Cricetulus griseus: one gene and its partner. The protein of the gene in region 2 purifies or fractionates together with the protein of the main gene of each other region. This does not show direct contact. Links are inferred from orthologs where the notes say so. Each region holds a gene or a part of one and is shown on either strand. Other genes may lie near its edges.

Region 1 (5,140 bases), on a different chromosome or scaffold from region 2:
TGCTTACTGAAAAATGTTTGTAGAAATATTTGAGACATACTGGAAAATGCTTGTAGAAAAACAATCTGAACATAAACTGAATTGATATTACTGTTTTTTAAGCACACATCTATTGGAAATAAGTTAGTATATGACTCTGAACAAAAATGTGGGGGTGACTGTATCATCTCAGATGATTTTTAAGAGAACCTCTAAAAATAACTTGTTTTGTTATGAAGTTTGTGTCACACAAATGGAATAAATTACCTATGAGAAATAGCATGTTTTTTTTTGTAAAATTCTTGTGGAAATAATGCCAGACTTCAAACAGAAAACAAGGACTAAAATAGTAGAGGATATATTTAAATTTTATTAACCTGATTCTGCCAAAGATGTCACTGGGCCATCACGGTTCAGTTTGTCTGGCACTTACTATGTGGCAGGCACTGTGATAAGCATCTTACACAGAACTCTCTTCTAATCCTCAGAATAGGTGCTATTTTTATCACTTCATAACTTGTGCCAGGCATAGGTACACTAGTTAGTGGTAAGGTTAGGGTTCCAACTTAGCAGCCTGGTTCCAAAGCTTTGTAATGTAGGAGCTAGAAAAATGATCACGTGAAAGGTTAGGTCATGGGTAAACTTTATTTCTGGAACTTTAGTGGGATAACAACAGAGCCATTGCCTTCTTTTCTGCTTACCTTTTTACTTCTGTTTCTCTCCCCCTCTTGCCTCTCATTTTTCCTCTTCTTTTCTTTTCCTTTCCTTCCTTCTTTCATTCTTTCGTGTGTGTGTGTGTGTGTGTGTGTGTGTGTGTGTCTCGGGGGTGTGGGCTGTAGCTGAGGTTGGTCGCCTTGAACTAAGCAGTCCAGGCTGACCTTGAACTCTACATATTCCCGACTCAGTCTCCCAAGCACCAGGGTTTTATGTGAACCTTTAGTGTTTCAATTGACTATCGCAATTTGTCTTCAGCGCCACATGACTGCAAAAGGGTGAAGAACGTTTTATGAAACAAAAGCCTGTTGTTACACTCAAAACTCATGCTGGCTTTATTCTTGATAATCTGCTTGTGATAAAAACCACAGCACATTCCCTGTAAAAACTGCAACAATCTTTGACCCAAAGCAACCCTTTTTGTTTTGTTTAATTTATGTGCAGTAGGTGGTGTATAATGAAAATACTAGACTCTAAAGTTTTACAATCTAAAATGAGCAGTGAAGACACTGAGAACAGGAGGAAGGCATGGAGAAGGACCTGAGTCCACCCAAATTCGTTAGAAAAGGACAGAAAGGATAAAAACATTTTGTCAAATGTAGCCAACAGATTTAGGTTTTTAAATCGTTGGCACAGTATCCCACTCTTTTGCTAGTGTCCATAACTCCCCAGTGATCCTGTTCATAACCAATATTTTTCTTTTGGTTTTTCCAGAGAGGATTTCTTTGTGTAGCCCTAGCTAGCTGTTCTGGGACTCACTCTGTAAACCAGACTGGCCTCGAACTTGCAGAAATCCTCCTGCCTCTGCCTCCCAAGTGCTGGGATTAAAGGCGTGTGCCACCACCGCTTGGCTTGATAACCATTTTTTGTCTCCATTTTTGTCTCCAAGGCAGAACAGATGTTGCTGGAATATTCTGGAATACTGCTGTGGAATTGAAAGCCGCCCTTATTTCTCTTGGAGTTGGCTCAAAATTCTCCACCTAAATTGTAATTACACCTAACCCTACAACCCTTATTTATTTGATTTTCGTGGCGCGGGGACATGTGCAGAGAATGAATGGTTATAAGGGCTGGAGCTTTGCGATTCTAGAATGAAAAGAGATAGCGGGCCAGAATTCCAAGGCAGAAGCCATCGTGCTTAAACCACGAACCAGAACCCAGGAACCGGTGGCTAGACCATCTTTACACCACCAGTCCAGACTGAGAGCGGCTGGTTACTACAGCAACCACAGACTCTCGCGAGACAGATCATACGCCTGCGCAGTGCTGCTCCAGAGGTCTGTCCCGAGCTTAGGGATTTTACGGAAGGACTTCCTGCTGTCACAAGCTGCCGCTCAAGTCCCTTACCAGGTGTGACGTAATGCAGAAGGGAGGCGGTCAGGCTGCGCAGGCGCAGCGCAGGCGCACGTGGAGCCGGCGCTCGGGTCCCCAGTGGCGGCGGAGTCGTGATACGGAGTCCCTGTCTTGTGGTCTCCGCAGGGCGCGCTTCGGGAGAGGTGGGCGAGCGCCTATGGTCCGAGTCCCAGCCCGTGGGCACCCCTGTCACCGCGGGGTGGTGGGAAAGGGGCTGCAGACAGCTTCTGAGGTCACTCCAGGTCTCCCTGAAGCCCCTTCCGGCGTTCTCAGTCTCCCTCCGGAGGGGTTTCCTTTGCGTGGCGAAACGCGGGTACCTCTGCTTCTCCCGAGACCACGGGACTGGTGCTCTGCTGCTGACAACCTTTCCCAGGTCCCTTCCCAGAATCAAGGTCTTTCCGTGACGCCTTTCTAATCGCGCCACTCCACCGCCAAGACTCTCCATCTTGTCCCTACCCGGTAATTCCAACGCCTTTATCTCTGTCCCAGCGACACTGAATATTCTTCTGGGTTACCCCGCTGCCCCCTTTCTACTTAGTCTGGAAGGAATTCTTTAGAGAGCGTTCATTTCCCCCAGAGAGCCTTCTTTTCCTGACTCTCTCGGCTAAGGCCACACCTCTCTGCTCCCTAAGGTACATCACTACTACTCTTTTAAAGTGAGACGTTTTTATTAACCGCAGAGGCCTTCGCTTTGCACAACGCCTAATGGTTTAGGGCATCAAGGATATAATCCATAAGACTTTGACGAAGAGAGAGCATGTGGTATGTGAGTCGTATCCTAGGCTGGATACACGGAGCATAAGGACATGAGACACCAGAGGTTTCATTAAATAGCCCGAATCTATAATATGCATGGTGGGTGAAAGGAGAAAGGCTTGTGAGAAATGGGAGGGTAAAAGCTAAACCTTTGAGTTTTCAGTTGATCCCGTAGGCAGCAGCAGCTTGCAGACACAGATGGCAAGGCACATGTCCATCCTGGTTTCCTGTCTATGAAGCTGTTAAGCATTTTTTCATATTGCATGGCGGCCACCTTATGCAGACTTGACTTTTTTCATCTTCCCTTCCAGGTTCTGTGTATCAGAGAAGTGATCCCAATCTTGCTGTCCCTTGGTTGCAGAGTATCTAAGAGTGAGTGTCCCTCGTAAACCGATGGGCTAGGCCCATACAGTAACTGAATCGCCGGTTGGTAAGAACTGTGGTGGGGCCGTTGTCTTGCTCCCTGGTCACTTTGTCTGACCACCTACAGCCAGATATCAGCTTCTGGCAGTCACCTCACTAGATCTGGATGGCCTTCTGTTCTTTAATCTCTGAGCCTGAGGGGAGCATAGAGCTAATAAGGGACCAATGGGAGAGTGCAGTGCAGTGTGGGGAAGGAAGCATCAACAGACCATGTCTGTAGCAGTGGGCAGCATTGACAGGACCAGGTTGCAGCACTCACTGGGAGGAATTCTGGCTTTATGGATCAGGATCTCGGAGTGATTCTGCAACACCATTTCTTGGGACTGTCCAGTTTGGAAAGCCAACCTGTCCCACAACCAACATTTCCAAATGCTGGTTCTTTTTCAGTTCACTTGGACATCTTACCAGCACCCATGACTTGGCTGCACTCCTACAGCTCAGTAGCTCTAGAGTGGGAACCAGCCATCTGTATGTTCTTATAAGCTACAGGTTATTTCGAAGATGGAGCCATGAGTCAGCTTCCTAACCCATACACTGAGGAACCCTATAGGTGTGTTAGGGAATTGGGTATATATTTGGAGAAAGTGCCCTGAAATGGAGGAACCTTAATCAAAGGGGACTTGCTTAAATGGGTCTTTATAGTTCTTAGATAAACTCTAGGAAGGAGAAAATAACTGAGAGAAGGAAGTATGCAGTTGCCTTTGGAAAGGACAAGCCTGATCTAGATGAATACCCAACTAGAGAGCAACCAAGAACATCCTAAAGAGTCTGTAAGGCTAATACCATATCTGTAGTCTCTAGGAAAATTATGAATAGGCCAATGGCTTCTAATACGCTTTCGGAAGGAGCCCAGCCCTTTTATTTCTCCCTAATGGATTAATTTCTTTGAATTTCATCACAAATTTTCATGAAATTGCCTGTCAAAGCAGTCATCTTATAATCTAATGAAGGGAAAAATATGTGCCTGTATGTTTTAGGAAGGAAATTGGGGATCATTGAAGGAGACTTACAAAGGGGTACAGAATAAGTTTTAGCCATGGACATATATTACTTTTGGTTCTTAAAGCCTGATCTGGTTAGTTATGAATTTCAGAGACTACAGATAAGCTCTGTGTGGGCAGACACAAGTGTCTTGATGCCCACCAGCAGCTGTGCCTAGAACACCATCTGCCCACTGGAGTATATGGGCTGATGAATGAGTGAATGAGGGGCCCTTGAGATTCTTCAGAGAGTAAAAGCATTTGCCACTATGCTTGTGACCCAAGTTCTACCCTGTGATTCAACATGGTAGAAGGAGAGAACCTACTTTGATAGAGCTGTCCCCTCTGACGCTCTATGATATGATCCCCAATCCTAGTAACTTAATTTTTAAAAATAAATGAGTGAAGTCTAATTAAGAGTTTAGAAGATGCTAAACCTCTGAGCTTAACACCAGTCATTCTCACATTGCCTGTGTATCATGGAAAAAAATAGGGGAAATTATAACTACTTCATTTTACCAGAGAAGTTATGTTCATGGCTACCTAGTTGGGCCTATATAATTAGACTTGCCTATCAGTTTGGAGTAAAAAACAAGAAAACACTGGAATATAACCAAAATATTCTCAGAGCATGCATTACTAACATGAGATAATGCTTCTTTCTGAAGGGTTTTCAAGATGGCTGCAGCCCCTCAAGCACCTAAGAGGGGATCTATTAGGAAGACTAGACCTCTGGTTGTAAAGACATCACTGAACAACCCGTATGTCATTTCCTGGAGCACCTTGGAGAGAGAGGACATACACTTTATATTACAGACACTTGAAGACAAATTTAAATCAATTGGACTAAAGAAAATTGAAGATAAAAAGAAAAAAACACCTTTTGTAAAAAAGCAAAGATGCAGCCCAGATGTTGAGATTAGTGAGGGTCTGAA
Region 2 (3,750 bases):
TGTGTGCCACCACACCGAGGATCTTGTTTTCATACTATTTTAGTCTTTCATGAAAGTTTAAGTTTTGAGAAAGGGTCTTCTGTTGTAGTCTGGAGCTCTCTAGCTCAAGCTGGCCTCAAACCCACAACAATCCTCCTGCCTCAGCTTCCAAAGTGCTTGTATTACAGGTGTCCAGCCTTAACGGTTTTAAATTTTATTTTTACATTTACTTATTTAAAGTGTGTTTGGGTAGTGTTATGTGTATAGGGGTCAGGGGACAACTTATAGGAATGCATTATTTTCTCCTTCTACTATGTGGGCCCTAGGGACCCAGCTCTGATCCTTAGGCTTTGAAGTAGATGACTTTACTTACAGACCCTCCAGCCTTGAAATGCTAATGGACTACAATTTATCTTCATCCCCCATCCATCTCTGGACTTGTTTTGACTAGTCTATTGGAATTTATTTATATTTTATGCACATTAGTGTTTTGCCAGGGGTTTCAGGTCCTCTGGAACTGGAGTTACAGACAGTTGTGAGCTGTCCTGAGTGCTAGGAATTGAACCTAGATCCCCTGGAAGAGCAGCCAGTGCTCGTAACTGTCGAGCCATCTCTCCAGCATTTGACTAGCCTCTTGAAGGGTTCCCTCATAGTTTCTCCGAATGGTTTAAAGTTAACAGCTTCGTATTTAGATCCATTGCCCATGTCATGGTCTCCCTCTTCATACATTTTAGTATAAATTTACCAGGATGGCACAGTGGTGCATACCTGTAACGCTAGCTAGCACTGGGCAGGCCAAGACAGGAGGAACATGAGTTCTAGGCCAGCCTGAACCAGATAGCTAAACCCTATCCTCACCACCCAAAAAGATTCCTGGTTTACATCTGCAACTCTGAGGATTAACCTAAAAATGGCATTAAATATATAGACCAACTTGGAGCAAATTGATGTCTAGAATGTTAAGCCTCTCATTTCAACATATATCCCACAGGCTAGGCATGTATCTCAGTTTGATGGTGCCTGCTGATCCCAGCACTCCCAAGGTGGAGGCAGGGGATCACAATATCACGGTCGCCTGGTGGCACATGCCGTTAATCCCAGCACTCGGGAGGCAGAGGCAGGCAGATCTCTGTGAGTTCGAGGCCAACCTGGTCTATAGAGCAAGTTCCAGCACAGCCAGGGCTACACACAGAGAAACCCTGTTTTGGGGGTAAAAAAAAGTTGGCGGTCATCTTTGGCTATGCAACACGGATCAGAGTTCTCTTTCCAACCTCCGATGAGATTCTGCCTCGGCAGGTGGTCTGGGGCTGTAGTAAGAGGTCCCAATACAGGTTTACTCCCGTCTGTAGGGAACTCTCCAAAGGCCTCACCAGTCTGGGCTGGGAGCCCAATTATTGCAGTCCCCGTCCCTCCCGCCAGGGGGCAGCGCGGCGGGAAGCTGCAAACGCCTGGCACCCAGTGTGGGCCCCTCGCGCGGGGCGTCCAGGGTGGACATCCGGCCGTGCGGGGCCGCCAGGACCGAGCTCGGGGGCTCAGCTGTAGATCCCGCGGCTCCCGGTGCGGTGACCCCGGCCCCGGGGACCCCGGCTCCTGCAAGGGCCCGAACCCCTGCCCAAACTGCAAGAGCCGTTTCCGGCTCGGGTGCTCGAGTCCCGACCAGCGGGGACACCCGCACCACGCCCCTCGTAGCCCCGCCCCCACCGATTAGTCCCACCTCCGACAGCTAGCCCCGCCCTCGACGCCCTCCGGGCCAGACCGCCTCGAGTCAGGAAGTCTCGCGAGACTGAAGTTCCCTTGCGCACGCGCACGAGGACGGGGAGGGGGCGGGAGAACGGAGGCCGGGAAGGCTACGAGCCGAGCGATTCCGGCTGGGGAACGGGGACGCGCGTGCGCAGTTCGTAGCCCCGGTTCTCCGGCACGGCGCTCCTGCTCCCATCGCTTCTTCCTTCTTCTTCCGAGTGTCCTGAGCAGCGGCGTCCCGGGGGAGCGGTCGGCGAGGCGCTCGCGAGCGAAGGGCGCTGTGGCGGGGAGAAGGTAGGCGCGGGAACGCCGGGAGCGGGAGCCACGTGATGAGGGAAGAGAGCGGAAGTGGCGGGCGGGAGGGCGGTGGGGGCGGGGGCGCCCCCTGCCGGCCGCCCGGAGGGACCGCCCGGTCATTGTCCCCCACGCCAGCACTCAGCATGGCCGAGAACAGGGAGCCCCGCGGCGCCGTCGAGGCCGAGCTGGACCCCGTGGAGTACACCCTCCGGAAGCGACTTCCCCACCGCCTGCCCCGGAGGCCCAATGACATTTATGTCAACATGAAGACGGACTTTAAGGCCCAGCTTGCCCGCTGCCAAAAGCTGCTGGACGGAGGCAGCAGGGGGCAGAGCGCCTGCGCCGAGATCTACATCCACGGCTTGGGTCTGGCCATTAACCGCGCCATCAACATCGCCCTGCAGCTGCAGGCGGGCAGCTTTGGGTCCCTGCAGGTGGCTGCCAACACCTCCACCGTGGAGCTGGTGGATGAGCTGGAACCAGAGATTGACTCTCGAGAGCCACTGACCAGGATCCGGAACAACTCGGCCATCCACATCCGGGTCTTCAGGGTCACGCCTAAGTAGATGGAGTGAAGCCAGACTGTCATACACCAACTCCTGGGAGCACACACATCCGGGCGTCATGTGGCTGAGGTTGCTGCTAGTTCATAGGACTCTTGTTCTCATATGGACCTGTTGTCAGAGCCTTGTAAGAAAAAATATGTTACCTCAGCCTAGAGGACGGTAAACGAGCCCAAGAAATGAATCCTCTTTGTCTTGTACAATAAAAGAATCAAGTTGTGTTGGTGCCAGGCTTCCGCGTATAATAATTCTGTGTGTGCTTGAGTAGGAACAGTAGGAAACTACAAGTACTTAGGCACAGGAAAAGAACCCACACTGGGTCACAGTGTGACATGGGTCAAATTTGTTGACTTACAGTTGAGCTCAGTTACAGCGTGCTCACGGGAAGACTAGAGAATAGACTCATCTACCAAGCTGACTGCAGCTGGGGTGGATAAGGCTTGGGAATAGAGAAGGTTTGAAGGTGAAGGAAGTGGGTTGTGGTATGACTCAATGGGGGAATTGTGACTAGTGTTACCTAGGTGCGCAGCACGGGGTTGGGCACCAGGTTCATCCCCTAGTAACCACAGAGTTAAGATGGAGAAGGTCGGGGAGATGCTCAATGGGAAAAGCACGAGCCCCACACACAGTCATAAACAGGATCCATTTCACACCAGGCACTCAGTACTCAAATCTAATTCCCACGATTCTCTAGGGAGATGAGCACCAGACAGGAGGATCCTCTGGCCAGTGAGTTAGCCACCCTGGCATAAACCGGCAAGAACCGGGCATTGGTGGCGTTGGTGGCATTCGCCATTAATCCCAGCACAGGGGAGGCAGAGGCAGGCAGATTTCTGTGAGTTCAAGGCCAGCCTGGTCTCCAGAGCAAGTGCCAGGATAGGCTCCTAAGCTACACTGAGAAACCCTGTCTCGAAAAACAAAAAACAAACAAACAAACAAAAAAACAAGAAATCCTGTCTCAAAGTGGAAGGTGAAGACTGATATCTGAAGTCCTTTGCTGTATACTGTAACACATGTAGCCATACTCACATAACATAGACATGCAAAAATAAAAAAAGATGAAGATTGTAGCTTTCTAAAATTAGCTTCCCTGAACTGACAGTTATGTTTGCTCTCAGTTTGAGTCAAACCTAGATAGAGGCTTTGTGTGCAAAGCAAGGGTAGCCATGCT

The links.
Region 1: the proteins of Pop7 (region 2) and Rpp38 purify together in Homo sapiens (co-immunoprecipitation; 3 studies listed by BioGRID and IntAct, with this or other methods). This does not show direct contact. The link is inferred for Cricetulus griseus from reciprocal best matches to the Homo sapiens genes POP7 and RPP38.

What each region holds. Positions count from the first base shown.
Region 1 is NC_048596.1:220,625,533-220,630,672, reverse strand, and holds the start of Rpp38 (ribonuclease P protein subunit p38), read left to right. Parts: upstream 1-2,054; 5' UTR 2,055-2,189; intron 2,190-2,370; exon of another isoform or gene 2,371-2,505; intron 2,506-3,113; 5' UTR 3,114-3,232; intron 3,233-4,873; 5' UTR 4,874-4,883; coding exon 4,884-5,140. UniProt on the Homo sapiens protein: Component of ribonuclease P, a ribonucleoprotein complex that generates mature tRNA molecules by cleaving their 5'-ends. Also a component of the MRP ribonuclease complex, which cleaves pre-rRNA sequences.
Region 2 is NC_048597.1:116,424,977-116,428,726, reverse strand, and holds Pop7 (ribonuclease P protein subunit p20), read left to right. Parts: upstream 1-1,870; 5' UTR 1,871-2,013; intron 2,014-2,151; 5' UTR 2,152-2,159; coding exon 2,160-2,582; 3' UTR 2,583-2,811; downstream 2,812-3,750. UniProt on the Homo sapiens protein: Component of ribonuclease P, a ribonucleoprotein complex that generates mature tRNA molecules by cleaving their 5'-ends. Also a component of the MRP ribonuclease complex, which cleaves pre-rRNA sequences.